Linked DNA regions of Arabidopsis thaliana. The protein of the gene in region 2 interacts with the protein of the main gene of each other region in a pairwise test. Each region holds a gene or a part of one and is shown on either strand. Other genes may lie near its edges. The genes, in order: PAP2 and ARF22.

Region 1 (15,763 bases), on a different chromosome or scaffold from region 2:
AGGATAAAGAAACCGTGGCTAGTGAGAAGTCAGATGCTCCTGCTCCAACATCTCAGTCAAGGGGAACAGCAAGACCTGGAAGGAAGAGTGAGATGCCTGCGGTTAAGAACGAGGAGCTGGTTCCTGGAGCTACTTTCACTGGGAAAGTACGAGCTATTCAGCCTTTTGGAGCTTTTGTTGATTTTGGTGCTTTTACTGATGGATTAGTCCATGTTTCTCAATTGAGTGACAACTTTGTTAAGGATGTTTCGAGTGTTGTCACTATTGGACAAGAGGTGAAGGTAAGGCTAGTGGAAGCTGACATTGAGTCAAAACGTATTTCTTTAACTATGCGTGAGAATGATGATCCTCCTAAGCGTCAGTCTGGTGGTAGTGATAAGCCGAGATCAGGAGGGAAAAGGGATGGTTCTAAAGGAGGAGGACAGAGGAAGGGAGAAGGGTTTAACTCAAAGTTTGCCAAAGGGCAGATGTTGGATGGAGTGGTCAAGAATTTAACGAGGTCAGGAGCGTTTATAACTATAGGAGAAGGCGAAGAAGGGTTTTTACCGACGGCTGAGGAAGCAGATGATGGTATTGGAAGCATGATGATGGGTGGCTCTTCGTTGCAAGCTGGACAAGAGGTGAAGGTTCGTGTGTTGAGGATAGCAAGGGGACGTGTTACTTTAACAATGAAAGAGGAAGATGATGGTAAGTTTGATGAAACAACCACTCAGGGAGTTGTGCATACAGCCACAAATCCGTTTATGCTTGCTTTCCGTAAGAACGAAGAGATTGCTGCGTTTCTTGACAAGAGGGAGGAAGAGGCAGAGAAGCCACCTGTTGAGACACCAGTAGAGCCTGAAGCTGAAGCCTCTGTCACCTCAGCTGAAGTCGAGGAATCGGTATGTGTCCCAGCTGAAGTAACAAGTGAAGAGGTTCCCTCGTCAGAAACTCCCAAGGTAGTAGAAGAAGAAGTGATAGCTACCAAAGCTGAAGATGATTCGCCGGAAAAAGAAGAGCAAACGGAAACACTTGCTGCAGCAGCTGAAGCTGAAGAGGTGGTTCCTCCAATTCCAGAAACCAAAAGTAAGTTGACTAAAAATCACTAGATTGTAATTTTTTTTGTGTGCTACTTCTCATATTGGTTTATTATGATCAGTATCAGTTTATCAGAATCATTTAAAAAGATTATACAATGTTTGTATCTTAGAACTCTATCCAAGGTAACATATACAGCTAAAGCGTTGGGGATACTCCAAATTATAGTAGAGACCTTAACCACATAAATAGTCACATGAACTACGTGTTCTAAAAAAATCCAGAATAATCAAATTCATGAAGTTTTGTTTGATGGAGCAAAAGGTGATAAGAAACATATAAGACCACAAAGATAAAGACATTTTAGTTCATTGTGTAATGATTACTAGCATTGACCCTTTTCTTCTACCGGTGACCAGGTGAAGAGGAAATTGTTGAGAACTCTATTCCTCCAAACTCAGCCACTGATGAAGTTTCATCTCCAGAAGCTTTAGCAAGTGAAGAGGTTGAGAAGGAGCAAGTGGTTGCCGAAACACCTGTTGATGAAGTCAAGACTCCTGCACCTGTAGTCACAGAAGCTTCTTCTGAGGAAAGTGGCAACACCGCTACTGCTGAAAGCATCAAAGGTCCTTCTTTTGTCCATCCTTTACCTGTTTTACTTCCTGACTCATGACCTAATGGTTTATGTGAGATTCCATCTCCTAACACAAAAATGTAACAGGCATTTCACCAGCTCTAGTGAAGCAGCTGAGAGAAGAAACAGGGGCAGGAATGATGGACTGCAAGAATGCTCTTTCAGAGAGTGAGGGCGATATGGTCAAAGCTCAAGAGTACCTCCGCAAGAAGGGACTAGCGAGCGCAGATAAGAAAGCAAGCAGAGCCACATCCGAGGGAAGAATTGGTGCTTATATCCACGACAGCAGAATCGGTGTCCTCTTGGAGGTTAATTGTGAGACTGATTTTGTCTCACGTGGCGACATTTTCAAGGAACTTGTTGATGATCTGGCGATGCAGGTAACTCCAAGTTTCTAGCTGAAACATTTTCTTCGTTTTGCTATAACTGAGAATATAATTTGACCTGACATGTAGGTGGCTGCGTGTCCTCAAGTAGAGTATCTTGTAACAGAAGATGTTTCAGAAGAAATTGTGAAGAAAGAAAAAGAGATAGAGATGCAAAAGGAAGATCTTTTGTCGAAACCGGAACAAATAAGGGAGAAGATAGTGGACGGTCGGATAAAGAAAAGGCTAGATTCACTTGCATTGCTTGAGCAACCATACATTAAAGACGATAAGGTGATAGTTAAGGATCTTGTAAAGCAGAGGATTGCAACCATTGGAGAAAACATCAAAGTGAAGAGATTTGTGAGGTACACTCTCGGAGAAGGCCTTGAGAAGAAAAGCCAGGACTTTGCTGCTGAGGTTGCTGCCCAAACTGCAGCTAAACCGAAAGCTAAAGAAGAGCCAAAAGCTGAAGAGGCCAAGGAAGCTGTTGCAAGGTGAGAAATTTTTTATAGTCTTTGCTCTTCTTGACATGAATTCTTATAATGTTGGCTATAGAAAGATTCAAACTTTTTGCAATACGGCACTGCAGCCCACCAACTACAGTGGTTTCAGCTGCTCTTGTAAAGCAACTGCGTGAAGAGACAGGAGCTGGAATGATGGATTGCAAGAAGGCATTGGCGGCGACAGGAGGAGATCTTGAGAAAGCACAAGAATTCCTCAGAAAGAAGGGTCTCTCATCAGCTGATAAAAAATCAAGCCGGCTTGCATCAGAAGGGAGAATCGGTTCGTACATCCACGATTCTCGGATTGGAGTTCTGATAGAAGTGAACTGTGAGACTGACTTTGTCGGAAGAAGCGAAAAATTCAAGGAATTGGTTGATGATCTTGCAATGCAAGCAGTGGCTAATCCACAGGTAAGAAAATGTCCTCAGCTGAAACAATGGCATAAATTGGTTGTTGGTCTCTGACCTGAAATGTCTACGTGCAGGTGCAATATGTTTCAATAGAGGACATTCCAGAGGAGATAAAGCAGAAAGAAAAAGAGATTGAGATGCAAAGAGAGGATCTTTTGTCGAAACCAGAGAACATAAGGGAGAAGATTGTGGAAGGAAGAATCTCAAAGAGGCTTGGAGAATGGGCATTGCTTGAGCAGCCTTACATCAAAGACGACAGTGTTCTGGTGAAGGATCTGGTGAAGCAAACAGTGGCTACTCTTGGGGAAAACATCAAAGTCAGAAGGTTTGTGAAGTTTACTCTTGGAGAAGATAACTGATGAGACAGACGAAGTAAAGTTTTCAAATAAGGGAGCTCTGTTTTGTGTCATGGAGTTTAAAGTAAAAGTCTTCCTTTTTGTTTTGTAGACAAAATCTTCAGTATTCACATTTTGATTAGTTTTTAATCAAAACCTGTAATTTTTTGTTCATGAAAATATGAGATTTGCATTATATAAATGTGCATTTAGTGACAATGTGACATTATACACTAAATTCGGAGAAAGATTGGTTATAATGAAATTTTAAACCTTATTTTAAATAGAAGTTTCAAATGAATTTCCCTGAAGAAGTGAAACTAAATAAAATAATTTTTTGTTTCCTTTTGGATATTATATCTAAATATAAAAATCAAACCGACCGAATTACTACATACACTACAATAATGTTTTTTTCCTTTTATAATTTGTGGGCTAAAAAAGGTCGGTCGGCCCATTTTGAGCCCAATAAAATTTAGGGATAGATAAAGACATAAAGTAACGAACGATATTCCGAGGTTGTCATTTGCTAAGGAAAAAAAAAACGAAAACGTGTGTCTGTCTCTTCTCGTAGCGTCTCTCAAGCTCAGGTTCGTGAACATTCCAATCTCTCAATGCAAAAGCTCATTCGAATTATCCTTCTCTGTTATTTTCGAGATCCGATTTACTCTTCTTTACTAGTCAATTCTAGGGTTTTGAGTATTGATCTTTCGCAATTTCGAAATTTTCCCAATTTGAAAAGATAAAAATCTTCCCTTTTTGTCTGGATCACACTTGATTGCTGAAGTCATTGCATGCACTGTTTTGTTGTTTACAGATGAATTTTGGGTTGCCAAGTATATCTTGGTTTGGTAGCATCAGCACAAAGAAAGATGTAGCTATGATTGATTCCGTGACACCAACAACAACTTCTCTATTGGAACAGCCAGAGCAAGAGAAAGCAACAACCTTTCTTCTCAAACAGCCAGAGAAAGAGAAAGGCTTATTTGATATAAAGATATGGACTTGGTCCTCCTTCAGTTCAGTTCTTCCTTGGTCTGCAAATGCCTCTGATGGTAAGCAGAAACCCACTACTATCAACAGAGGGTTAAAAAGGCATGCTCTTTCTCGGAGGTCATCAAGATCAAATGGTGTGAATACTGTTTATCGGTTTAGACCTTATGTGTCTAAGGTTCCGTGGCATACAGGGACGAGGGCGTTTCTGTCACAGCTTTTCCCGAGATATGGACATTATTGTGGACCTAACTGGTCTAGTGGGAAAGATGGAGGTTCGATGGTTTGGGATCAGAGACCTATTGATTGGTTAGATCATTGCTGTTATTGCCATGATATTGGTTATGATACTCATGACCAGGCAGAGTTGCTTAAAGCTGACATGGCGTTTCTTGAGTGTTTGGAATCAAACAAGCGTGTAGTTACTAGGGGAGATGCTCAAGTTGCTCACTTTTACAAAACAATGTGCATTACAGGTAACTACAATCTCCTTATGCTTTTATATCAATGTGGGATTATTTCATAATTTACCTTATTATTCAGGTAGTAATATTTGATAATGGCCGTTTCCATTTGGTGATGTACTGATGTATCTTGAAACCATCTATCTCGAATGCTTTCAGGTCTCAAGAGCATACTAATACCCTACAGAAGTTACCTTGTGAAGATACAATACGGGCAAAATCTACTCGACTTTGGCTGGATAGTGAGCAACCTCAGCAAGAGAAGCTGGAGTTTTCAGAAAAACTGAGACATAAGGAAGTATATCGGAGGTACTCTGTCATCCCGGTAAGCCTTTGTGGGTGTCTTCACTTTCGTTTTGTACATAGAAGTCATAAAGAAAGGAATCTGAGGATTAGGTTCTTTAGTAGTATAGATATATATGTTTAGTATGAAGATGTGAAAACGCTAGTAAGTGTTGTGCGTCTTGTAAACCCGTTGTACATGTCTAGTAATAAACCCTTGTTTTTGAAGTCTTTTGTTTGAATGATATAAGCTCTATCAAAGGATCATTATAACTTCATTTCATGGAAACTCATGAACTAGAAAAACTATTTTCTATAGTAAAGTTTGCATCCAAAACATATATAACAATGAAAACCACATCCGGTTTACACACTACCAAAACTTTTATACATATGAATTATGAAGTCTTCCTTGGCAAACACACATACACAAACCCATATGTTTCATTAGATTGATTAGAGAAAGAAGTAAGAGGAAGAGGCCTTATTAGAGCTTAGTAGAGGCTGGTTTAAGAAAGATCAAACATCACTCCTAGCACACAAACACACAAGAATACTTCAAAACAAAATGGCTATTCAATTTCTTAAAAACATATTTTTTCAAATCATATATTATCACATAAAAGGGCTTTTCCTAGTTCCTGCTTCTGCACTTCTCCATCACCCTTGGAGCTGCAAAAAAAGAAAAAGCAAGATTTGTGTATGAATCATTGTGTATTCTTCATTTGTACAGTAGTGTGCAGTAAGTTCCTAGTGTTTAAGAGGCTTGGAAAGGACTAAATTGCATCGTTTTAGTTTCTCCAGTAATATATTTCTTTAGCTTCAGAATGTTTATAGAATCCAGCGAGAAGCTTAAGAACCATGAAAGTATTAGAAGGGTGTCTTAGTTCAAAATGGACCACCTTTCTAATACATCTTAAAATCGAGCACATGGGTGTGGAACATTAAACTAGGGTTTAGTAAAGAAATACTAACCTAAGCCGATAGCCTCAGAGCTCTTCATGATTCTCAGCTTCTTGCAGGAGCATATAAACATTCTGCAGAGGAAAAAACAGTAAGAGAGCTTCACTGATCTATATTCTTCTGTTAAGCTAAAACTGTGCTAAGATCATTAGATATGATCTAATACTTGATGTTAATTTACATTGTTGAGATTGATCTTTTAAAAATCAAAGACTTACTCCCAAGGGACATCTCCGACCAGCATCCAGTCACTGTCTTTATCTTCATAGGTTACAACATACTCAGAACCACGCAAGAGATCAGTCAAGCGACTCTCGTTTAACCCATCTCTGCCACACCCTCCATGAGAACCAAACTGACCTGAAAAAAGGAACCAAAAGAAAACAGTTAACTCAATCACTGGTATTGATCTCAAAGAAGGAGAGACTAGAAAACGTTACCAATGGTGAAGCAACTGAACATCTTCTCAAGAGCAGAAGAGAGCTCAAGGTAGCTTTTGTAAGTCTTGAGATCGATTTTCCTCAAGTAAGGAGCACCTTCCATACTCACTTTGACATACAAGCAAGGTTGTTCTGGTCCAGACTTAGCTTCTGCTTCTTCAGTCTCTGAGTTATTACCAGGTTTCTGAGATTGAGAAGAAGCCATTGAGTTCTTCCTGAATGATCTTATTGGTGGCCATCCCACCACTTGTGCTCTGCTCAATCAAAAAAAAAAAACATCAAGAATCCCTCTTCACAGAAATCATAAAACAGAGCAAAAAAGCTGAGAAAAATCTAAAACAGAGCAAAAAAAGCTTACTTTGAAGCTGGAGCTGTAGCAGAGCTCTTCTTCTCCTTAACCGGAACAGCCGGTTTAGTGAAAGTTGTCGACTTTCCATCTTTAACGACGGAGGTACGGGGACCAGAACCCGAGCCGACATCACCAGTAGCAGTAGTGGATCCAGGAGAGAAGACCCATTTGTTAGAGTCGTTAATAGCGTCGGAGAACACCCTTTTGGCACCTGACACGGGACAGCTACTCTTGTTGAGAGCCAAGAATCTTGAGTCGACTCGCTCCGGCGACTCAGAACCGGGTAAACCGAGTCTTAACTCGGTAGCCTTGAAATTGAGACCGTTGTTATTGTCTCTGGTTTTGGTTTTGTCAGACATTGTTGTTGCTTCCATGGTTGGAAACTCTGACAAACCTATGTAATCATGCTCTGCTGCTACAGATACAGACATTTTTTTCAAATATAATTGTGGACAAACTTTTGAAGCATTTAGTGATTACAAAAGAAAAAAAGAACAGAACACTTTCTGAGAGAAATGGGAAACAAAAAAATTTAAAGATGAGATCAAATTGTGAGTGAAAATGAGAAATGATAAAAAGGTGTGTGAGAGAGCTTTATTTTTTTTTATTTTTTTACCTTTAATCTTCTTTTTTCTTGGAATCGTATTATTTTCCAAAAGTGGACGGAAGTAGTATACGTAATTTTATATTCATATAAACCGTAATTAGAAGTAAGTACTTTCCTCTTTTGGCGGGTTTAAACACAAAATGTTGATTTAAGAAAATGGTACACATGAATGTATTGTATATACACGTTACGTTTTGTGTAGACATCTACTCCCCGACAGGTCACAGAAAGCGTCCTGAAACCTTTCCTATTATGCCCTTGTCTCGACTCTCGTATTCCACGTTTTGTTTTACTTTTTACTTTTGTATTTGAAAAAAACAATTTGCTATCTCATGAAGGTGTGCATGTTATGCTATCATGCAAAACGATTTAGTATCTAAAATACGCTTTTGTATGCAATTCCTTTTTGATATATGTATAGAGATGTTGTAATGAGTCACTAATTCTGTTTAGTTTGGCTTAACATTATATGTTTTAGATTCACTAGACGATTTGATATAACTCATAAGTTAGCTCGTGAAACCAATCTTTACTCATGAAATTGAGTGATGATAATGATAATCTAATAACGGTGAACCATTTAATCATGTGCATGATAGCATAACATATTCTATAATAAATCAAACGTATTGGAGTTTAAACTTCACAAACTTGTATAAATTCACTAGTAGTTTAGCTAACGAATGGAGATTATTAGTAAGTCGCCAATAATTGCGATGGAAGATGATATTTAGGCTTGGGGGTGAGAACAGAGAAGAGAATCTCGAAAAAGTTTTGGGCCCATAGGCTCTCATTTTTTGGGTCCACCAGAAGCATGAAAAGAGGAAAGAAACAGTAGGGGTAGCTCTTTGCCACTTAGCCGCAGTAGCAATATTGAGCAGTGTTCCCAAAAAGAATTGTGGTCTCCACACTCCACTTTTCATTTTTATCAGACAATGTTTTCCCAAAATCGAGCATATATGCTACAGTACATTACAATTTGACCTATTAGTAAAACTTTGATACTTGGATCATAGTCTTAAATTAATAAAAGTTTAAATGATCAAATCAGATTTAACTTTGATAGTATTTATGCCCATCTAATCTATCTCCAAGTATATTTTTTAAGTGGATGACTCAATCTACATTTAAACGTTTCAACTCATATTTTAACCCATATTTATTAAACCAATATATCTGATGCTATAACAATATAACATGAGAAGAAGTATATGAAATATTGTCATTTATATTCTACCAGTGATTTATATATTGTTTGGCTGTATTGATTAAGTCATTCATTTGTAACAACGATAAGTATATACATAGCAAGAAGACATACAAAAAAGACCTGTAAGTTGCAGTATTATAAAATATCATATGCATAGTAATTTGGTTAAAGCCTGCCTCTAAGGTGGATCCATCTTTGGATCTTATCTAAAGCTTTTTAGATTTGTGTTTTAGTGTAAGTTCGAGTGTCTTAATCATAAGGTGCCTTTCTTTAACTTTTCCTTTGTCTCTCTCTTTTTTTGGGCAAGGTTTTTGTCGTTTTTGGGACATCTCAACTTATATTCCACCTTAACTCACCATCTAATCGTGCCATTAGTTACTTACAAAGCTATCTAAGGATACGAATCTTTAGTAAAAATGTGTCTATCACTATAGAAATCATATGAAGGCTATAAAATCTAAAGATTAGTTGGAGTTACCCAAAGTATTTACTTATCTATATGGATGTTGCATCACATGTGGCGGTTTTAATTATTGTTATTATTATATATGGCCACGTTGGGTTTACTGTATTAACAAGAGACATCATAAGTAACTCTAGGGTTTAATTATACTAGCGAGAGACAGCTTAAGTAACTTAAAATGTTGGTTTTGAATGTTTGTTTATAGACTTGTGTGAGCGACAAATACATACTATAATTTTATTTATTTTTAGTACTGATGTTATACTTAATGTTTTTTCATTTTTTTCTGCTTTTCATCAAGCATAATAATTATGACTATAATTGAAAACTATGTAGTTAGTTGAGGATCGAATGGAATTACACTAAACCTAAAATGTTAAATCAGTGGACGACCGTACTTACAGCGTTAGTGAAAGATCGGTTTGTGTCGTAATCGAAAAAAGAAGAAAAAAAAAGAACAAAGAGACAGTGTGAATCTTTAGACAAAGAAGCCACTTACCCTCCTTGATTTAACATCCATACAAGAACCTCATGCTCCATTATAACTCATAACCTACCATATCGAATCAATCCGATGGCTATAAATGATTAGATCGATATAATTTTTTAACCTGTCATCAAATTAGATCGATATAATTTTTTAACCTGTCATCAAATTAAACCGCATAATGGTAACTGCCGGTTTTGTTTTTCTTATGCGGTTATTAATTTCGGCGCTGTCTACATATAGAACACACACACATATATATAATATTGGATCGTTTGGTGGCTGAGTATAATCTCTACACACGCCCTCATATATATATACTAGATAAGGCCGCCTAAATAGGCGGATGTATGATATAAATTTATTTAAATATTTATCAATAATATTTAAACTTTATATAGTAAATAGTAATCTACACACTTTTTCTAATATTTAATATAGTAATTTTTATATTACATAAAATTTTAATCATACACATTCAATTTTACTTATATTTTAACTATCTATTTCATCATAATAAACTATTTTGTTATTTATAACATAAAAACTACATTCAAACACTCTGTGGAAACGACATCCCGTTTATATCCTCTGACAATGTCGGACTTACAACTGTTGGACAAACATCAAATAAATATAAACCGAGCAGTAATTAAAACGCATAGTTTGCTAATCCATTCACTATGCGATTAGTTTTACTATACACATGAGTAACTCGGATTATGCAGTCCCTATACACTCCATCTTATTAATGATATTTGAATTTTAAATAGTAACGTAACTCTCATACTTTTTCAGTATGTAATTTAGTATTTCTTTAAACCAAATTTCAATCTTACAAATTCGATTTTGCAATACAATTTAAATACCTATTTTACCATAATAAAATATATAATTTAATGATATACACTCCATCTTATTGTTAGTTTTTTATATAATTTAATTATATACACTCCATCTTCTTGTTAGTTTTATATTTTAGATAAGAAAATTGTAAGTTAAATATTTAGATATAAACATATTAATTAGTATATATAAATATCTTTGTTTTTTAGTTTTCTATTTTCTTTTAGGAAAAAGTAAAAAAAAAAATCAAACACATGTCAAAATCTAAAATCGTTCAAATAACCACGTGTCATGATCTCGTGAGTTAGTAACTTTCAAAATTGTACTTTATATAATAAGATTAACTTTTTTTCTTAAGGTATTTCAAAGATTGTAATCATGGGATTCATTTGATTTTCTTTAAGATACATATGGTATGGGCTACATTATAGAAAGTGCTTGATATTGGGAGATTGACTTTGTCCATCAGAGTCGACGTTTCTAAGTCATACTCAATGATATGGGTTTACGTATGTGCTTAATATATATGCATATTGCGCTCCACTATCAAGATTTATGAAGAAAAAGAATGCTCAATTTCCACATGATGAATATTCACATTGTTCTATTTAACGACTTCATATACTAATTTCTTCTTTATATACACACAATTTTGAGTCGAAAAATCTATTAATCTTAAATGTATAATGATCTTGATATATACTGAAAAAACGTTGAACCGATCGATGGATAAATTTGTTGGAAAATTAGTGAAAAGTTTGTAATTAATGTAACTAGATAAAGAAAAAGGCAGAAACTACAGTGCTATTTCGGCCTCAATTCTCAAATGATCTCTAGATTCCTATTATTGAAAAATGCAATGAAGAATGGTGTGTACATAAAAACGCAGCATGATGCATCTCTTGTAATCCATCTTTTAAACTCAATCGGCTAATAGTGAAATTTTCAATTTCTTTGAGTTTTTACTCAATACTGATCTGATATCTAGTGAAACAATTTCTATTAGTGGCCTAGTGGGGTTTAATATACGGATTGAGATGGATCCGTCGACAGAATTTTACTATGTTTTTGGTGCTCCTTATAATGTCAAAACCTAACATTACACTTTGCTCGAGGCCCATGCACTATTCTTGTATTTATATATGTTAACAAAAATGCCCAATAAGATATGAGCTCATTGGCCCAGTAAATGATATCATTCGAAATTAATCATATTCTAAAACCTTAGGGGTGATATTCAATAAGTACGTATAAAAATAACGGAAGAAAATTGTCGTCTCTAACTCTCTGATAATTTTGAGAATATGATCAAATCTACCAGTGATATCTTTTAATGTTCTTATCGAAAGAAGCAAAGACGTACAAGTTTCCTGTATTTTCGTCCATACATACACTGAGTCACTGACTTCTGCGGAAGAAAAAAATCATATTCTGTAACAACAAAAAGAATTGTCAACTACAGCAAATAGTACAGTCAATTCACAAATCTATCTTAACAAGTACTTAATAACTAAGAGATAAACACAAATGTTACTTTCCGCAATCACAATATTAATAAATAAAATAAAATCGTCTTACTGAGTATTAATCAAGATGGTGACAAATTGACAAAAAAAAACAATCATTCAGACAACTAAATTTCTATTGGTATAATTCTTTTCCATATATTTTTAATTAATATGAGAAATAGTTACTCTCTTTTAAGAAAAATGTGGACACTCGTTTTTTCCCTGACGGCAACACTGGTTAAGGGTCCTTGATGTGTAATCGTGTCATTAAAAACTAATAAATGAGTTAATCAAGTCAACAGTTATTATTATTATTATTATTTATTAATACAAGTTGGCATTGCTCCTCTCAATGATTTAACTCCTTTATGCAGGGCCTATAATTTAACTTTCATATGCAATCATACTGACTTTATTCCTCTATATGTAAATATTTTGTTAATGTGTCGGTAGATTTTCTAATATAAATTGACTAAAACATAGAGACATTGGCGTTTGTGTAAGGCTATCGACAAAAGGTAAGATAAATCAGCCAATCAGGCAAAGGAAGAAAATTCAAACAATAGATACGAGAGATATAGTGATGCAAAAACATGTTAATCTTATTGTAGAGTTGGTTTGAATATGGGAAAGGTCTTCAAAGAAAGCTGAAGCATTCGAAGAATTTTATTTAGGGCCAGAGTCCAGAGATAAAAATGAAAGAATAAGATTTTCATATAAATTTGATTATACTTTGAACTATTGTAATATTCCTTGAGTGATTATTATGGTTGACATAAGAGGCCTTAACTATATATGGGTCCTATATAAGACAATTTTTCATAAACACCAAGACGGAATAGGTCAACCGCATGTCTTCTCCATTGTTATAATTTCTTAATACACAAAATTACGTTAGGTGAAGAAAATCAAGAATTATTCTTGTTTTACAAATTACAATATTTAACTTATCTATTTTCTCAAAGACCTTATTATTATTTTCAAATTATCATGGTGAAACTACATTTATATTTCTAGTAATAATGCAAAATAATAATAAAAAACAAGACGACACACTAAATGACTATATTGGTCATTTATTTGTACAATCGACTAATGTTACATCGTAAATACTAAATATGTGGGTTCGATACAAATTAAAATTGGATAAGAAAGGATAAACAATGGTTGACTTCGTTTGACCCTCAGTAATTACGATAGAGTGACGTCATACCATTTTCACAAAATTGCTGGCCATTTAAATCAGACAGATCAAAACGACCCTAAACAAGAAACTGCATTGTCCTTCATTTTTGTTTTTGGTAAATATAAATGCAATGTTTTAAAAAATCGCCTCTTAACTTTGTTGCTATCCATAAAAAAAAAAATCCAAAAGGGGAAATTTTTAATATAGGAATTTTTTAAACTATTGAAATTTCTGTAATGTAAAGGTTGAAATTTTAAACATCAATTATGTTGAATGAGAAAGAAAAATAAAATTAAGCATTGTTGTCTAATCTATATGAAGCTGAAAGAGGTAGTAATCAGATGTGGGCGCGAGCACGTAACATGTGGCCCAACATGTGGGCCCAACGGTGTCTCTGAAAACATGATACGGTCACTTTCACGTGCAAAAAGCCCAACGTGTGAATACAGTTTTTGTTTTAAGCCCATTTATCATTGGCCCCACACACCGGCCTCTCCAAATATTATTCACCAATTTAGAAACGCAGTATAATTATTATATTTTGAACCCAAAAATAAATAAATTGAAAAGGCTTTATAATTATTTAAATGAAAATATTATGTATAAGCTATTCGAAAAACAACGAACACGACTCGGTAAGTTTTAAAACCTCTAAAATTTGCTTTTGACATAAAGATAAAATGAATCATTTCTTAAGACGTAATGATAAAATTATATATAATATAGCAAAGACTAATAATGTGAAGTTGAAGCTTATACGTTACACCAACTTGAAATTAAAGCTAAATTATGAAGTCTTTATTTCATAATCCTAAAGCAGATTGCATTTGAAAGCAATACAAATCAAACTTTTAGTCAGCTCCACCAAAAGTTGGTCGCATTTAAATCCAAGAGTAATTAGGCTCTTAATAGAAGTTTAATTTGACTTAGTTTTCTCATGATGATGACTCCTTGCATCTTTATCCAAATTGCAACAACTAATGTTTAGTTGAATAAGTAATCCAACCTTTTTTTTATTTGGATGATAGATATACGTATCAATTACAGAATTATACGTAAGTATTATCATTTCTTTTCGTATCCAGCCTCAGTCTATTTCCGTCTATATAATTATCACTAAAACAATTTTCTTAAACATGTCTATTACTAAAATAAATAAAGCTCAACTTCTCAAAATTGATATTCCTTAATTATATAAACACAAGATATCTCACCAAATTACCTCCATCCATAAACATATACCACTGGATTGATCTTCGTTTGTCAGTGATGTAGATGCATAATATGAAACCTTGAAACCTTTAACATTGTATTAAGAACTCTTCGTATAGCACATCTCGACTATGTAATTTATCTTGTGTACCTTAGCATCCATTTGCCTTCCTTTATGTGATCAAGTGAAGGACAACTCATAATCATCCTTGTAACTCCAAGAAAATGAGCTAAGTCAGAAAACATAAAAATAGTAAATAAACAATTTAATTTTCTGTGTTTGATTTGTGTATACAAACACAAATCCATAGATAAAACATAGATCCATTTTATAAAGTCAATCTAGAATAACTTGATCGGACTTAATCCATCATCGTATAGCGATAAGTCATGGCAACTAAAAGTCACAACACAAGGCATATTTTATTTTCAATAATCAAATGTAAGTGGAAATATTACTCTTTTTAATTTATGAAATAGAAAACGGAAGAAAATTTCAATGTATAAATCAAGTATGTTTGCCCTTTCTTTCTTTCTTACAATCAAGTTGAATTTGTTTAGTGAAAGTAGGGAACGCTAGTGGACAAGTTGATTCGATGAAGAAGAGCATTTTATTTTCTAAGAATCGGTTATGACGTACATGAATTTTAAGGTTGACTCTGACTCCCTTTGTCTTGTCCCTTTTATAGTTTCTCATCAAATTCATTCCCACTTGTGGTGACCCCGTCAGTGACATGTGCGAATCTTAATCCTTTCTCGATTTTAAAATCCAGACATTTTTATGTATAGTAAAATGGTCCTTTAATGATATCAAAATGAACTGTGCCTAGTAAAAAAAAAACATTTTTATTCGTCAAAAACGTGGTTTATTAGCTTTCTCTGTTCCACTACAGTTTCTATTTTTACAGTTTTTACTGTTTGCTGAGAGACAGAGAGAGAAAATAGGCCTTTGCACGTGCAGGCCATGTGGGCCACCGACCCAAATCAGAATTTCATACAGTTTTGTCTTGTAGTAAAAAGCAATTGGGCCTTTAAACATGGCCTGTTCCAAAACCATTGCGATCCACGGGTTTTCCAGTCACATGTTTCATCACGTGACCAAAAATTTGTTAAACTTATATTTTGCATTTAAAGTATAAAAAAGCGATCTCTAAAACGAATTTTCTTGTTGGCAAACCAATTTCCTATACCCTGGAGGGAAAGAAGTACTCTTAAAAGCGGTGGCAATGGCTCTACCAACTTATACAATGGCATGCTTCCTTCTGCCCAAAACAGTATGTAAGCAAATAATCTCTGTTCTAGCTGATTTCTGGTGGAGAAATAAACAAGAGGCGAAAGGTATGCATTGGAAAGCGTGGGATCATTTGAGTTGTTATAAAGCGGAAGGAGGCATTGGATTTAAAGATATAGAGGCTTTTAATTTAGCCTTGCTTGGAAAGCAAATGTGGCGGATGCTTTCTCGACCAGAATCGTTAATGGCAAAGG
Region 2 (16,472 bases):
ATTTTTTTTTTGTGCACCAACTTTTTGATTCAAACTAGAAAAATATAAGAAGATTGTTTATATTCGGAGAACCCCAAATAGCAAGTTTGGAAAATAAAGTATATGAGGATATATAAATAAAAGATAGAGACACAAGCTCGTCGAAGCTTGATAGAGCACCAAAAGAAATATCAAAACAAACTAATACGAGCAAATATATGATAAAAACACACACATTAAACAAATAATCATCAACTGGGTAAGTAGATAGTCACCATACTTTGTGACGTTTTGTTACATGTGTTTCCAATTATCAGTTAAAATCATAAATAATTGTTTAAGAACAAGATAAAATCCTGAAATGAACGCCGATAACTTATAAACTGTTATGTTGGTATATGAAAGGCAAAAGAATTAATAATTAATGCATAATCAAGAAAGAAAACGATACTGAAAGTATAATACAATGAAAATGAAAATCAGAGTTTATGGACGAGTAAGACCCGACCCTATAAATAGGAGTGTAACATTTATGAATGAAAATGTTTTGGGAGAGAAATGAGACTAAGCTGCTGAGAGCCCTCATTGTCACAAAGAAGGAAGCCGATAAAGAAGGTAAGAGGGACATTGAACCACCTCCAATGATTCTCGAATTCTTACTATGGAGTTCATGAATGTTCATACATTGGTTTGTGGGTAGAGTGTATTTACGTGTTATGGGTTGGGTATTTTCACGGATGTAAAAATATGATTAAGGTGTTAGTTCACTCATTGGTGTTTTCGTAGTAGATGACTAGTGTTGAGTGCTAGAACTGGTCGATGGTTGCTTGATGAATCAGAAAATACCACTATAAAAGAAATTGACACTTTAAACGAAATAATTGTATCCCTTTTATTTGGCAAGTCAGTACCATGTTTTAGATCTTTCAAAAAACGTGCTGAATAGGCTACTTGACAGCTACACTCACCATGAAAGTTTTAGTCATATGGTAAATGCTCATATTATCCATAATTATATTAAATATAAACCGTTACTGAAAAATCATCCTTCTATATTATTTGGGAAGTACATTTTAAATATAACCTTATTTTTTGTAAGTAATTACATAGGTATGCCATTAGAAATAAAATTTTAAAGAGTAAATTAATTTATCTTTTTAAGGATAATAAAATCAATTACTAATTTAATTAATTAAATTTAATAAAAAACGAAATATATTATTAATTTTCAAAAATAATAACCAATCAAAATCAACATATAAGATTTGATATTTAAATTTTAATTAATTTAATTTAATTAGAAAAACGAAATACATTATTAATTTCCAAAAAAGTAACCTATTAAAATCAACAAATTAGATTTGATATCTAAATTATCATATTAATTTTTTATTAATTATTATAGTTCACTTCTCATCTTTATATGATTCTATTTTTGCGAAAAATAATATCATCATTATAAAAAAATAATTAGAGTTTTTTCGCATATGCTATAATTTGAATTTTTGAAAACGAATATAAACTGTTCAATACATAAAAAAGTATTATAACGGATGAAAAATAGATTTAAGAAAATTTTCTACTGAGTAACGAGTTATAATTTAAAATATTTATATTCAATTTCATACATATTATATTGAAAATTTATAATCTTATATACTACAATAATTAATAACATATTAGATTTTTTTATGTGTATGATGTAATTCAATTGTTAATACAAGCTAGAAAATCCTAGAATTGACGGGTTTAGATCGATATTAATACAAGATGGTATACTACAGGTAAAACTCTTAAATTAACAATCAAACTACAAGTGTATAATCTTAAACACTAAACAATATAGATAATATCAACAAAACATATACAACTCACAATTTACTTTTAATATTTTATATACAAAATCAATTAAATCTTAAATTAAATCTTAATCACATAAAAATTAGCACAAAAAAAGTATTCAACAATTAAAAATTTATCAAATCTCTGTGTTATATAAGTTTTGATACTATATTCGAATAAAGTGTAATATACCTTTTCAATTTGTATTCTTTAACTAATTTAAGCTAACTAATATATTTGCTAATCTTATACCTATCAAAACCGACTATCATTTTTTATCTCTATAGTATTTTTGCAAGACTTTTTTGGTGGAATTGGGTAAAAGTGCATTCGGGTCATATGGTACATTCCCCTATTAAATAAAAATGGTATACTCCTATGTTATTAGCTAAAATGTTTAGATTATAATTCAGAGTCATATATTAATAAAATTAATATTAATAAAATAAATAGCTTTTTGGCAAGACGGATTTGGAGTGACGGGTTTTTGAATCAACATTAATAAAAAAGTAAAATATAATTAATACACCGTTTCAATACGGTTAAATCTTTAATTTATTATTTTTAAGACCACTAATATTAAACATATCAAATCATCCTAATTTAGAAAAGATTATATAAAACCAAAAATGTTATGTGGTATGTATAATGTTACCATATATAAAATATAAATGTATTAGAGAATGATATAATTTGCAAAACTTTTATTTATAAAAAATAATTCTTAAATTTTAAAAATTACTACTTTAAAAAACAAATCACAGGACGGGTAAAGAAATTATAGAACGGGTTTTATTTTGGAATTGAGTTATATGGTGGATGTATTTGAATCAATATTTATAAAATTTTAAAATATTATTAATATGCTGTTTTAATAGGGGTTACAACTTCAGTTTTGTAACAATTGTCTCATAGATTCGTGGTATAGCCTTACTTAATAATAATTATAAACTGTAAAATATAAATATTTTATAAAGATAAAATTTACAAATTTTAATATATATTACTTTTAAAAAATAAATTGTCCCGCGGTATACCGCGGGTTAAAATCTAGTTTATCTTATAAAGCACAAGTCACTAAACCAGTAAAAACTTGCTACCTAGATTTTTATTTTTCAATTAATTTTTTGTAAAAGGAATTAAACAAAATACTTTGAGATCGTGGAGAAAAAAAAAGCCTCAAAAGAAAGAAAAACCAATTCTCCGCCTAACAAAATTGGGCTACGTGAAATCAGAAAAAATACATTGTAAGCCCATCACAATTTTTTTAAGTCCAATTGCCCATCCTAATTCTTAGTTTTCTACATGGTTTTTTTTCTTTTTATCTCTCATATGTCGACTATCGTGTCCTATAAAATCTCCAAAAAATGTAAAAAGAATTCTAATTCCTAATTTTGCTCCCACTAACACCTCCAGGTTCAAGCTACTTTGTAACTGATTCATCTTCTATTTAACTCCAATAAATTCACTTTAATTTCTAATCAATATTTCTCTCCTTCGCCAGGTAATTGTTGAACTGTTTTATGATTCTCTGGTTCCAATTATAAATTTCCTCATCAATTGTCACTACATCCTATGCCGATTAGTCATATTCTTTTCTTTTATTTTTGTCAACTCAGTTGAAGATGCCTATGGATTTTACTCATGTTTCACATCTAAATTCTTCAAAAAAGAATAAAAGATCAAAGGTCTAATATCCTTGACCTTGAATTTTTATCCCAAAAACAAATAGAAGGGAGAAAACGAAGGAGATGAGCCTAAAGAAGACAAAGGAAAATAAACTGTTGGCAAAAAATGTATGATTATTCACTATGGAGGGACCTAAATTATTAATCCTGATAATATGTTCTGATTTTAGGGTATCATCAATTGCATGTCTCATCTTCTTTTTGCAGTTTACAATTTTGTTTTGTTTTTTGTATTTCTCAATTATGGTTTAGGTTTGTTCATCATCGTTTCATCAATTGCATGTCTCATCAAATTCTCTATTTTAAATTCTTTCGATTTTCAAATTATGCATTCGGAATTCACAAATTTGCTTTCACTTTGTTCATCATTGTTTCATCAATCACAAGTCTCATCAAATTATCTATTTCACATTTTTTCTTAGTCTTCAGAATAATGAATTTTATATTTACGTTTTCAGTATCTATGACATTACCATGGAGATGAATCTTCTTAAACACCATTCACTCCAACACAATGGCAAGTTATGCATATATCCTTTGTTGCAGCACAAAACATTTTCGAAGAAGAGCAAATTTGAAGGTAAATTCACTTCTCTTATGGTCAACCCTAAACAGATTTTTTATTATCAATTTTGCAGGTTTGTTGCATCTCCATTTACTTATGTTTCATATCATATTTCTGGTTTTTTTATTAAGTAGCCAAGAAATTGTTTAATCTTTTCAAACTTCCAACTCTTTATTTCTTATGGTTTTTCATATGCTATATACATATTTCAATCATAGTCGATGAAGGGTATATCTCTTTTCATCATATCATTTATACAAATTACAATGTTGTTTCACTGTTTACAACGGTTTTTGGAATGCTTTATTATCTTTAACAAAGTTCTCTTTGATTTGGCAGGCTCTCTAGGTCTTTTACAAGTGATCATATACCATTGAGACTCCTCTACTCGCACCAAGTGGATTCCCGTCAAGCCATTACTCGCATCACACCAATTATTCAGATTTTGTATTATACAAGCTAAAGAAACAAAAGACTCGGCTGGGATTTTCTCCAAACCATTTGGCTTACTCTTCATTTTTTTCATCACCATTCATCAATATATCAAAATTAAACATTTTCGACTTTATTAAATCGTATTGTTAAATGTTTAAACATCTAAACATTTCTATCTTTGTTAAATGGTTTAATATATTTTGGGCCGTACGTAATACGAGTTTTAACACTAGTAAACTAATATATGGGAAAAAAGATATTCAAAATTTCTCTGTCGATAACAAAGATGTTTTAAAATGTATAAATGCATTACTACCATTATCGATATGTTCAAGTGTGTTTTATACTTTTTGTTATGTACAAACAATGACGTATATTTGAATATGATTTTATTTGTTCGTTACTCGAATGCAATAAAACTTACTATATGCATTCGAAAATAGAATGTTTTATTATTTTTTGTAGTACTCTTGCATATAGAAACTGAAACTTTTATTAAACAAATATATCGCATCTATGCAACCAAACTTATTTTTACAAGAGTGATTATTCATATTAATTTCTGTTCACCCAAAAAATATATTTTAAGTTAGAAATATACAATTTGGTCCTCCCTCCTTTTCTCTTCCTTCCTTCTTCTTGACATTATCAATTTTGTCCATATTTATAACCATAAAACCGCTTACATTTCTGATTTTTCATATAAGTTACATTTTAAATTTCCAAATCACAAAGTATATTTTCTTGTGCAACAAACACATAGTAGTATGTTATTCCTTAATCTCCCAAAAAAAATCTACATTATTGACTGTTTTAATACAATTCAAGCATGTGAAATGAAGAAAAAACTCTTTACCAAAATCTGAATACTCGTGATGCCGTTACACCCGATCTATGATAACTTTTTATATCTTTCCTGCCTCTACTTCCTTATTTATAAATTTTTCTTAATCATGACAGTTGAAATATCTACTCACACAATACTTTTTTTGATTTAGTAGTTTTAATTGAATATGAATTGGCCGAATTCCCAAGTTTCCCATAAATTTATATATATATATTAACTAGTTGTGAGTGGTGACACAATTGTAGTGATAGATTTAAGGAAATATTTACTAAAAATATAAACATATTTAGCAGTATCATTTGTTTATGTCTTTAAAATATCCGGTTTTGCAAGTACAATAATAGGTAGAGTAAAATCTTTAATTTATTGAATGACTATATACTTCGTGTTACACAATTTTCTTTTCAAAATATCATAAAATAAAATACTACACTCAAATTTTTAGAATGTAGATGTGATATGTATATTGTATGAATTAGAAAGAAAGCTCTATATCACGACAACAAGGGAATTTTATTTTATTTATGGACGATGGAAACAAAAGTACATAAGACAAATGCATGCAACAACAAATAAGAGAAAAATAAAAATAGGACAAGACACCGGTAACATTTTCGACCCCTTTTATTACATATGTTTTGATTCTTAATTCAACTTGAGAGACTCTTACTGGACTTCAAGTTTTTGACCTCCTCTTTTGAATATCAATATCTTCTTCACCATGTTGCAGAATTCACTATATGCAAACAACACAAAAAATGAAATATCAACGTCTCTCAAGATTTTAACTAATCTTTCAATCGATAGAAATAGAAAAGAAACTTACGGCCATGGATCGTCTCCAACAAGCATCTTATCATCGTCACTATCTGTGAAAGCTATTTCCCATTGGTTGCGAGTTTGTAATTGGCCTTTGAGATCGAAGAGCTCCTCCAATTCTAGTATTAGCTGATCATATCCATTCAGAACACTTAAATCCACAGCTCTTTCTATTGTTACACCTTGCATTTGAACCTGTTCCATATCAAGATTGCGTGAGTTGAGTACAATGAGAAAAAGTTTCATATATAAAGAATAAGAATATATTGATCTTATACTTACTTTGGTACAAGTTCTAGTAGAACTGAACTGCTTGCTTTGGATCTCTGTTGGTGATCTCAAAGTTTGGCTTTGACCAAACTTTTTTCCTTCAGTAAGTTTCGAAATCTCCGAGCCAATTTCTTCAATGGGATCTTTGATCACTGAAGGAGTGACCAGTGAGACTCCAAACAGCCTAAAATTAGTGCCAGTCTTGGTTGTTATATTTTCTTCTATTTGTGTAACCATTTGGTTATTGTAATTTAGTTTGGGCATTGGTTGGACAGGGTAGCTCATTAGCAATCTAGAAGGATTCATAACATCTTCAGTTGTATCACGATAAGTGAGAGAAATATTCATCGGGGAGGCCACGCTTAGTTGGCCAATTTCTTGTCCTTGTGTCAATATAGGAGGCAAGAGATGTGATGATGAAGAACCTGTATATAAAACAGGAATATTGAGAAGGTATTTAAGAATCTCAAATTCATTAAATAGAAGATTAATTCTTTAAATAAAAGATTATAAGAGTCTCTTTTTATACCGATTTCATTAACTTCTCGTAAACGCTTGTTCTTGAGCAAAGATGGTCGCGGAACATTTAACGCAGGCATTAAATGTTCGATCTCCCAGGGTGACACTTTATTAGGTCTCGAAAATGATGCAAATTCATCCCACTGCACCTGCAAGATTAAATTTATTGCATTCAAAAACGTATTCCTAAAATGATGTTTTAAAGTGTGAATGAAATTTTACTTCTAAGTTGCGCCACTCTGAACACTTCCAATGAGGAGAGAAATCACTAACTCCAATAATTGTCCCAAAATATCTTAATCAATAGAACAAAATGTGTTATCATAGATAATATTAAACATTACAAATATATTTAAGTAGAAAAAAGTTTTCATCTAATGTTACCTTCTTTCAGAGAAATCATCACCCTCAAACCGCATTGTAAATCTTGAACCAACATTGAACTTATTGTTCACAGCATCTAAGAATTTGTCGTAACTGACAATAAATTGACTTGATCTGATACTTATAAAGACACAAAAAATATATAAACCTACATGTTGAAGGAACTAATCTATTGATAAATCAATATAATCTTAAAAGTGAGTTCAAATGGTTCTTTGAATTACCTTGGCTTGTAAACCACAATGAACATACATTGGTTATCAAAAGCATGCTTTGCGGAAGCAATCACCCCATGTCTCATACTTTCTATTGATATTATTGATGAAGGTATATTCCCTTGTTGATGTCCTGCTCGTCTGATACCAACTCGTAACTCTCCAGTCTCTCCCCTGAAACCACAAGTAAATAGTTTAAAATCCAAAACTCAAGAACCAAAAGATCCCTATATAAAAAAAACCAATAATATACCTAACGAATACAATAACATCCCCTGCAACCAATTTTTTTGATGTTGTGAATGCATTCCAACCAGTTGTTAACAAATGTCTTTGCGGTGTACCTGCATGGGATAAGAAGATTATTAGTTACTTCTCTAGGATTTATTACCTCAATAGTTGTGTTTGAATTATATGAATAAAAGGAATTATTACCTCTATAGTTGTGGTTGAATCTCCATTGATTACCATGGAGATCTGTAGCAAGAAGTTCTTGTGTCGGTAGAGGCTGAGACATATCCTAAACCAAAATTTAATATGTAATGTCTAATGAAAGTTTAAAATTCAAATTCGTTTAAAAAACTATAACATTAAATACCAGGGGAGGAAGACATTCAATGGCATGTTTTTTTGGAACAAAGAATCCACCGCTTGTATCCGAGGCCGTTAAAACCTTCGTAAAGGAATTAACTAATGGTCTAAATTGATTTTCATTTTGAGTAGGGATTACAACTTGCTAAACATTTAACAAAATCAGAAAATCAATCAGCTATAATAAGAGAAAAAATAGAATTAACTGAAAATAAAAGAGAAATACTAAATTTTCACTTACAGTTGTATCTGGCATCAAAGTGATCTCAGCATAAGTCTCATCACTATTGTTTTCCACCTAAAATCAAACATCAAACAATTAACCAATTACTTATTTTTACAATGAAATCAAATATATATCATGCGTATTCGGTAAAACATAATAGAGATATACCTTAAGTTGAATAGCAATAACACGACATTGAAGCTTAGAAGGAAGATCACAAATTGGTTTTAACTCATTCAACTCTTCTCTTGTAGATGCCTCAACCTGAAAAAAGTCGTCAAAAGGTTTTGATACACGAGAGAGAGGGAGAGAGAGATAGGGAGAAAGAAGAGAGAGAGAGAGAAGAGGGAGAGAAGAGAGGGAGAGAGAAAGAAGAAAGAGAGAGAGAGAGAGAGAGAGAGAGAAGAGAGGGAGAGAGAAAGAAGAGAGAGAGAGAGAGAGAAAAAAAAAAAAAAAAAAAAAGAGAGAGAACTCACAAGCTCTATATTGCCTTGAGGAAAGTAATAAATCTTTTCTCCAAGTTTTGGAATATCACACAAAGGCCCCGCACAGAGTTTCCATAACTGCTCGTACATATAACTCTTGGATCCATCAACTGCCGAACAAAAACTAAAACATTATAACCAAAACAAGTTTTCACTAAAATAAAATAAAAAGTCAAAATTTCTTACTTATGCCTGATAATTCAGGTTGTGCATTCACAATGTTGCCACTTTCCATAAGCTCGTATCTAAAGATCGGTATACCAAAATATGTTATCCCAACAATTATTATACAACTTTCTCTCTTTCCTCAACTTCTCTCGCGACCATGAGAGCACAGAATATCACATTTATAGGTAAGAAGTATTAAAATACTTTCTTAGATTTGAATACTAAATTTAATAAGGTTACCAAAAATTAATAAAAGTAATTTAGAGAAATGTCATTAATATTTTGACTACATATAAGAAAATCATTAACTTACCAAAATCAACATATGCTTTATTCATATATAAGTTGAGTAATATAATACAGTTTTAATACTTACACCGTGATCAGACCTTTCATATGGGATCTATGGTACATCTCATGTTAGATTTTTCTTTTCGCTTCCTCTATAAGTTTATAAGGATTCCTTATAAACCGGGGTTCTATAAGTATATATTGTCGATATTTGGAGAAATTTCCAAGGGCATGTTCCCCTTTCCATTTAGTTGTGATGTGAATTTGCATGTATCCCATGGCTATTGGGATGTCCTTGGCATCAGGGGTGGATTCCCGGTGGTGGTTGTGATTTGGCCTTATAAGGGGGTGTGGATTATAATATGATGAGTTCCATCAAAAATGTACAAGGGTTTCTCGTTGCCTCTCAACCCGAATGTCATCTAAGCATTTTGTTCTATGTTTTATATTGATGGCTTTTATTTTGCTTCTCCGTCAAAAACGTGTTTCCGTATTTTGTATCTCTGTCAAAAACATGATTTCGCATCTTCCGCCAAAATGTGTTCAATGATTTTCCCGTCTAAAACATGTTTTCCGCAAAAAAAAGTAATTCTTTATATTTCTGCCAAAAATATAACTTCGTAATTTTCTTTCAAAATGTGATTCAGTGATATTTTCACCAAAAACATGATCATGATTTATGATGGTGATCAGATGATCATTAATAGTGATGATGATCACGAATGATGATGGTAGTATGATGATGATTATAATAGTTATTATTTACTATTAATGATAATTATTTAGATTATAGAATATTTTTTTTTATCATCTATAGAAAAGTTATTAATTGAATAAACTTATTTATCCATTAATTCAATAATTTAAATGACTTATGGTTTTATCCAAAGTATTTGCTAAATGAATTAGATTGACTCATTATCCATTAGAAATTAAATTTGTATGGATATAGATTGGTTGGATTTGGTTTAACCAACTTGACATCCGTAAATATAACACCCACAAAAAAAAACTTATAACACATTAGTCAGACAACAACAAAAAAAAATACGATTTTTATTTGTATAGATTTATTTGATCCAATAAGTTTACCTTACTTAATTTAATTTGTAAATTTTTTATTCTTGTGAGAGTTAAAATTTTATTTGTTGTCAACTACACATTAATTAAAAACTAATTATATGAACGCTTATCTAATCTAGAAAAATTAGATTATAATTTATAAATAAAAATGTAGATGATCGATCTAAACAATCCTTTTTAAAATTATATATGAGAGGAAATCGAAATGAAAAGAGAAAAGAAATTTGACCAATTACAACAATGGTGATGCTAGTGCTATCATTGAGACTACACTCTTAGAGCCCATTATAAGGCCCATTACGTAAAACATAATAATCTCTGAACTAATAACAAACGACTATGGGATATTTGATCAATTGACTTGTATTCTTGTAGAACATACGCAGAGGTTGACGACGATGATAACAGTAGGATTTATTCAACCCAATTCTCTCTTCTCCTTCTCAACTAAATCCATCGACAAGACACAACCTTCACGAACGAAATGGGTCTCTTCCTCGTCCTCTTCCTTTTCTTCTCACTCTTCCGTTGAGACATTTCATCGAACAGGTAATGTGCAAGTTCTTCAGAAAGATGTTCTCTGTGGCAACAATGAAGAAATTAGGAAGAAGAATAAAAGGGTATTCTTCTTAGACGTTAGTCCACTTTGCTACGAAGGAAACAAACCCAGTTCGCAAGCTTTTGGTCACTGGATTTCACTCTTCTTCTCTCAAGTCAGCCTCACTGATCCTGTCATAGCTGTAAAAATCTCTCCTTTTCTTTGATTCTTTCTTCCGCAAGCTTTTTCTCTTCTTCGATCAATGAAAGATAGTTCCTTTTGTAGGTTATCGATGGAGAAGAAGGTAACCAACGACGCAGAGAATTGTTGCCTTCATATAAAGCTCATAGGAAATCACCAAATCATGGGAGATACTCTAAGAGGCCACATCAGTTTGTTGATGAAGTTCTTAGAAAATGCAATGTGCCAGTGGGTAAAACTGTTTAATACTCAATGTTCAATAGACTAGCTCAATTCTGTAGCGTGTATATAGTTAAGTGAATTAGCCGTAGAAGTGAATGAATGATCTTACTGGATTCTTGTTTATGTGTTAGGTTGTTAGAATAGAAGGGCATGAAGCAGACGATGTAGTAGCTACGCTAATGGAACAAGCTGTGCAAAGAGGATATCGTGCGGTTATTGCATCGCCTGATAAAGACTTTAAGCAGTTGATCTCAGAAAATGTTCAGATTGTCATTCCATTGGCAGATCTCAGAAGATGGTCCTTTTATACTTTGAAGCACTACCATGCTCAATATAATTGTGATCCACAGTCTGATTTGAGCTTTCGTAAGTGCCTAAATCGACTTATGGCTACAAACATGTCTCTTGACGCTTGTCTTTCTGTCAACTTTCTTTGTTAAGTGTCAAAGCCAACTCAATCCGGCTGGTTCTTGTGATAGGATGTATAATGGGTGATGAAGTTGATGGAGTTCCGGGGATTCAGCACATGGTCCCGGCGTTTGGAAGGAAAACAGCGATGAAACTTGTGAGAAAACATGGTTCTCTGGAGAGTTTACTAAGCGCAGCAGCTGTAAGAACCGTGGGGAGACCATATGCTCAAGAGGCCCTTACGAAATACGCAGACTACTTGAGAAGAAACTATCAAGTTCTTGCCTTGAATAGGTTCTTTCTTTATCACTTTAAACCCCTTCATTTTGATTGATTATGCATCACTTGTAAGATATTCTTGCTGATTCTTCAATCATTTTTGTATCATAGAGATGTGAGGGTACAGATTCAAAATGAATGGCTGATGGAGAGAGATACAAGCAATGATTCAGAAGTATTGTCAAGCTTCTTCTCAACATTGCATGGATGATACTGACAAGCTAAAGCACACTCTCGCATTTTAGCTGATAGCTAGTTTTTGTGAGCTTGAAAGTAATTTTAGACATTGTAGTTCATATCTGATTTTGTTATATACTTCCATAGATATGAATCAAAATGTGCAGTTTGTTACTAAATTTGTTTATCACTATGGACATGGCTGGTTAAATCAAAATGAACCATAATAAGTAAGAAAAAAAAAAGAATCCAACTTTCTGCTATTCTGATATTATTATTATGGCGAAAACAAAATTACAGACACAAAAGAACTGCTTAAAAGGCTAAAAACTAGAACATCTTACATAACTTATCATATATATGGCAATGCCTTAGAGACTAGTATCTGAAACAGACTCACCAACATTCCTGGGCGAGAAACCACAGGCATTCGCAATAAGCATTTGAAAAGAACTCTCTGAATCATCAAACATCAGTCGCGGAAACTCGTGGAACCCTCCAAAATTACATGTATCAAAGTTCATTGGTGAGAACGACTCCTCAAAACATATCCTCCCATCAGTCATTCCAGGCTGTGTGGTTTCTTGGTTAGCATTTGATGCAGAACCAAGATTGAAGCCAACCATTCCTTGGTTGTTGTTCCCGCCTTCAGAGCTCCCTCTCTGAGTAGATGTACTGGCTGATGGTTTTGTCTCTTCAAGAGGGATTGCAGGCGTGTGTCCCTGGAACAGAGCTATGTGACCAAACAACTTGTCTTTCCTTGAAAATGTTGTACCACAGGAACAAAGCCACTTGTTTTTCCCGCAGTGCTTCTCGTGGGTTTTAAGATCTGCAATGACAGAGAATTTCTTGGTATGGCACCGGCTGCAAGTGAAGCTTTTATCGCAGTGGGTGCGTTTATAGTGATTCTTCACGCATAGAATCGTTTTCAAAGGCTGGAACTTTTTGTGCTCCTTGTTACGTTTGCAACCAAGGAATGGGCACGAGTACCTCTTGATCAGCATCGGCTCAGACCCGGGTACGGATTCTTTGTTCGGTTTCGCCAGAGCAGCTGCTGTTTTGTACTCATCTCCATGCCCTCTCATATGCATCCTCAAATTCGCGTCTCTCTTGAAACCCTTGCCACATATCGTGCAGAAGTGAGTATGCGGTGCGAGAATCTCTTCTTTCTCAAGCTGCAATATCTCATACGAACCGGGAGGAAGGTTCTCTCCTTCTTCCACATCATCTTCATCTTTCATCTCATGTTCCTCCACAACATGACCTTCCCTCTCATCAACAAGAACCGGCTTAGGCAAATCGAACTCTCGAGCACCACAGTTGTTATTGTTCTGACTCTGTGAAGCAACGTTATTAGCCTCCCTTACATAAGGGAACACGGCTGAACCGGGCTGCCCAGTGAATGGACCCGGAGCTGTTGACATATTATGCTTAACAGATGGAAGAAGACTACCTGCAGTTGAAATAAGCTGTATGATAATGGAAGTAAGATCCGTCGTTATAAGCTGCTGCTGCTGAGCCGCGAGCTCGTCTTGACGACCTTGAAGCTGCCCACCACGACCAACAAGAAGATGAACAAGATCCTGCAGCTGGTGAATCTTCTGCTCCATAAAAGAAAGGTTACTCAACATCGTCCTTGGATCCCACGCTTGAGCCCTAACACCTTGTAAGAAATCAACATTTGCTTGAATGCTCTCTTGCAATCCAGGCTCCACACCCATCTCATAATCCAAGATTGAAGCATCTTCCCACTTCTGCTGGGACGTAAAACCTGCGAATGTCGAATTCCCACAGTCTGATGAACCCGGCTCTCGCGATTTCGAAGAAGAGCTTCCCCAATTGGTGTTGCACAAATCGTCTTCAGTTTCCATTTTTTAGTTCAAGATCTTGTTTTTCAATTAAGAGAACAACAAAACCTACAAAAGAAACCATAAAAATCAAATCTTTATCAGAATCAGAATTAGGACCAGCTCAAAGTTCATCATACACACTTCACAGAATCAAATTTCATTACTAAGATTCAAAATCAAACTCAAAATTATCGAAATCAACACAAATTCTTCACCCAAACAAACAAAAAAAAATCTTCACACATAACTCTTAAGATCCAAAAACCAAACGGTCAAACAAAAAAAAATCATCAAAATCATCAAATCAAAACTCGCCGACAACAAAATAAAACCCTAAATCAAAAACAAACACGATAAAAACAAAGTTTCACAAATCAAAGATCACTAAATCAACAGAAATGAAAAAAAAAATAGAAAGAGAGAGATTGAATCACCCACAAGAAGAAAAGCTTGAGATGGAACTTGGAGAGCACCAATGGCCGCTTTAAGAAGAGAGATAGATAGAGAAAGTGATGATGATGATGATAGAGAGAGAGGAGGAAGCAGCGCCTGAGCGGGGCTCATGTTTATTAGCTTTGGGGTGCTCTCCACTTTCTGATCTACCCTATGTAAAGTCAACCCATTAATCTCAACCGTTGAAATTATATAAAGATCGGTATCAATCAGATCTGACGGTGCAAAACCATATTATCGCATTGAACATGGTAACGATGCATTAGAGCCGTTGATTTATGAGAAAAAATAATTGATTACGAGGTGATTAGAGTAAGTCAACCTAATCATCGACCGTTCGTTTATAAGTAAAATCAGATCCGACGGTTTATATGCGTTTATCGCATCAAGAACAGTACCGGTGTATCGCAGCCGTTGATTTAGAGAGGTGTGGGTGGGGTCTACGCTATAGTTGGTCGTAGTTTAAATATTATTATTCGTATTATCTTTCTCTTTCTGTCTGTCCATGCACTTCATTTTTGCTTATTTGACTTGGCTACTTCAAATATTGAATATTGTGTGCATTAAATATTTGTTTTATTTCAACTAGATATTTGACAATTTATAAACAACAACATTGTATCTTCTACAATTTTGATGTTCGAATTGGTGGAAAAATAGTTATAAAGGTGATGTTTATCATATCCTCCTTCTATTTTGGATTAGTTGTTTTTAAAGGTTTTTACACATAAATTAAAAATAAAAATTGTGTTACTCCTAATTAATATGTTATTTTATTTAATAATATTAAATAATCATCTAAAACAATTAAAAAAATTAAAAAATTTATCAAAAAGATGCATTGAAAATATAAAACGACAACTAATTTGAAACAAATTTAACTTCCCAAAACAATACTTATTTTAAAACGAAGAGAGTATGAGTTCAACAAACATTTTGCTTCAAAATTGGAGTAATGAGAGATAAATGTAAGAAAAATTACTAAATTTGTTGTAAATCAAACCATATTTATTTAAAATTTGTGAGTAACCAGAATAAATTTCATAGAATTGCCATAGCTAAATAATTTTAAACTGTACGTTTCACAGTCGTGAGAATTAATCTCATGAAAATAATAATATTCGACATAGTTCATATTAAAATTTACATCTTCGAGTGTTCATCTTTTATATTGAACTCCCAAAAAATATATTTTTGTTATATTCAGATGAAGATAAAATCTATTTCACTTCTAAACTGGAGTCTGTTTCAAGATTCATCTACCATAAAATCTAATATAAGTGTCTTTTAATTTGGCTTGTCTAATTAGTCTAACACTTGACAGAATTTTTAAACATACATCTAGTATTTATATCAGTATTTATCTAATTTATTGTTGTGACTTAATTGAAAGACACTATTCTGCATATAGTATGTATCTAGTTTATTGTAGTGAATAAAATTTTGATTCTATATGCATGCATAAATATACATATTTAGGTATATTCTGTATGCATATTTAGGTGTATAAACATGTAAATGAGATATAATCATTTTAACTATTTCAGGCACAAAATATAGAACAAAAAATGTTGTTTACGTCTAGTTTTTTCATGTACCACATGATATGTGTTTACTTAAAACATAGTTATATTTTTTTTGTAAAAAATCAACCCTTAGTTACTTCTTCGCCAACAGAAATTATGATCATACTATTAATTATATTAAAAATCTGGATAGATATCGAAAATTACCAAGAATGGATATCGTGAATGATATAGCCACTTTCAAACAAAGAAAAATTAAATAAGAGGATAAAGTAACTTAGATTTTGAGGAATCTCCAAATTAAATTACATCAGCCAAGTGGAGTCACCTGCCACGAAGGTTCTCTCGTTCATGCACTCGTTGTTGGAAGGCCAAAATTGAATACTAATGAATTTTCTATAGTTAAAGTAA

What was found.
Region 1: the proteins of ARF22 (region 2) and PAP2 interact in a two-hybrid assay, tested with the Arabidopsis thaliana proteins (one large-scale study listed by BioGRID).

What each region holds. Positions count from the first base shown.
Region 1 is NC_003075.7:14,318,024-14,333,786, forward strand, and holds PAP2 (phytochrome-associated protein 2), read right to left. Parts: upstream 7,339-15,763; 5' UTR 7,191-7,338; coding exon 6,769-7,190; intron 6,665-6,768; coding exon 6,411-6,664; intron 6,331-6,410; coding exon 6,189-6,330; intron 6,045-6,188; coding exon 5,983-6,044; intron 5,680-5,982; coding exon 5,642-5,679; 3' UTR 5,273-5,641; downstream 1-5,272. Other genes in the region: emb2726 (elongation factor Ts family protein), read left to right, coding at 1-1,065, 1,437-1,643, 1,739-2,031, 2,107-2,513, 2,609-2,933, 3,008-3,292; AT4G29070 (Phospholipase A2 family protein), read left to right, coding at 4,086-4,737, 4,885-5,012; AT4G29090 (Ribonuclease H-like superfamily protein), read left to right, coding at 15,505-15,763. UniProt on the Arabidopsis thaliana protein: Aux/IAA proteins are short-lived transcriptional factors that function as repressors of early auxin response genes at low auxin concentrations.
Region 2 is NC_003070.9:12,548,633-12,565,104, reverse strand, and holds ARF22 (auxin response factor 22), read right to left. Parts: upstream 9,101-16,472; coding exon 9,052-9,100; intron 8,976-9,051; coding exon 8,857-8,975; intron 8,645-8,856; coding exon 8,549-8,644; intron 8,453-8,548; coding exon 8,396-8,452; intron 8,300-8,395; coding exon 8,162-8,299; intron 8,084-8,161; coding exon 7,999-8,083; intron 7,908-7,998; coding exon 7,817-7,907; intron 7,738-7,816; coding exon 7,573-7,737; intron 7,463-7,572; coding exon 7,349-7,462; intron 7,260-7,348; coding exon 7,187-7,259; intron 7,114-7,186; coding exon 6,975-7,113; intron 6,871-6,974; coding exon 6,458-6,870; intron 6,371-6,457; coding exon 6,183-6,370; intron 6,093-6,182; coding exon 6,023-6,092; downstream 1-6,022. Other genes in the region: AT1G34380 (5'-3' exonuclease family protein), read left to right, coding at 10,806-11,147, 11,231-11,374, 11,500-11,734, 11,848-12,070, 12,167-12,266; STOP1 (C2H2 and C2HC zinc fingers superfamily protein), read right to left, coding at 12,604-14,103. UniProt on the Arabidopsis thaliana protein: Auxin response factors (ARFs) are transcriptional factors that bind specifically to the DNA sequence 5'-TGTCTC-3' found in the auxin-responsive promoter elements (AuxREs). Could act as transcriptional activator or repressor.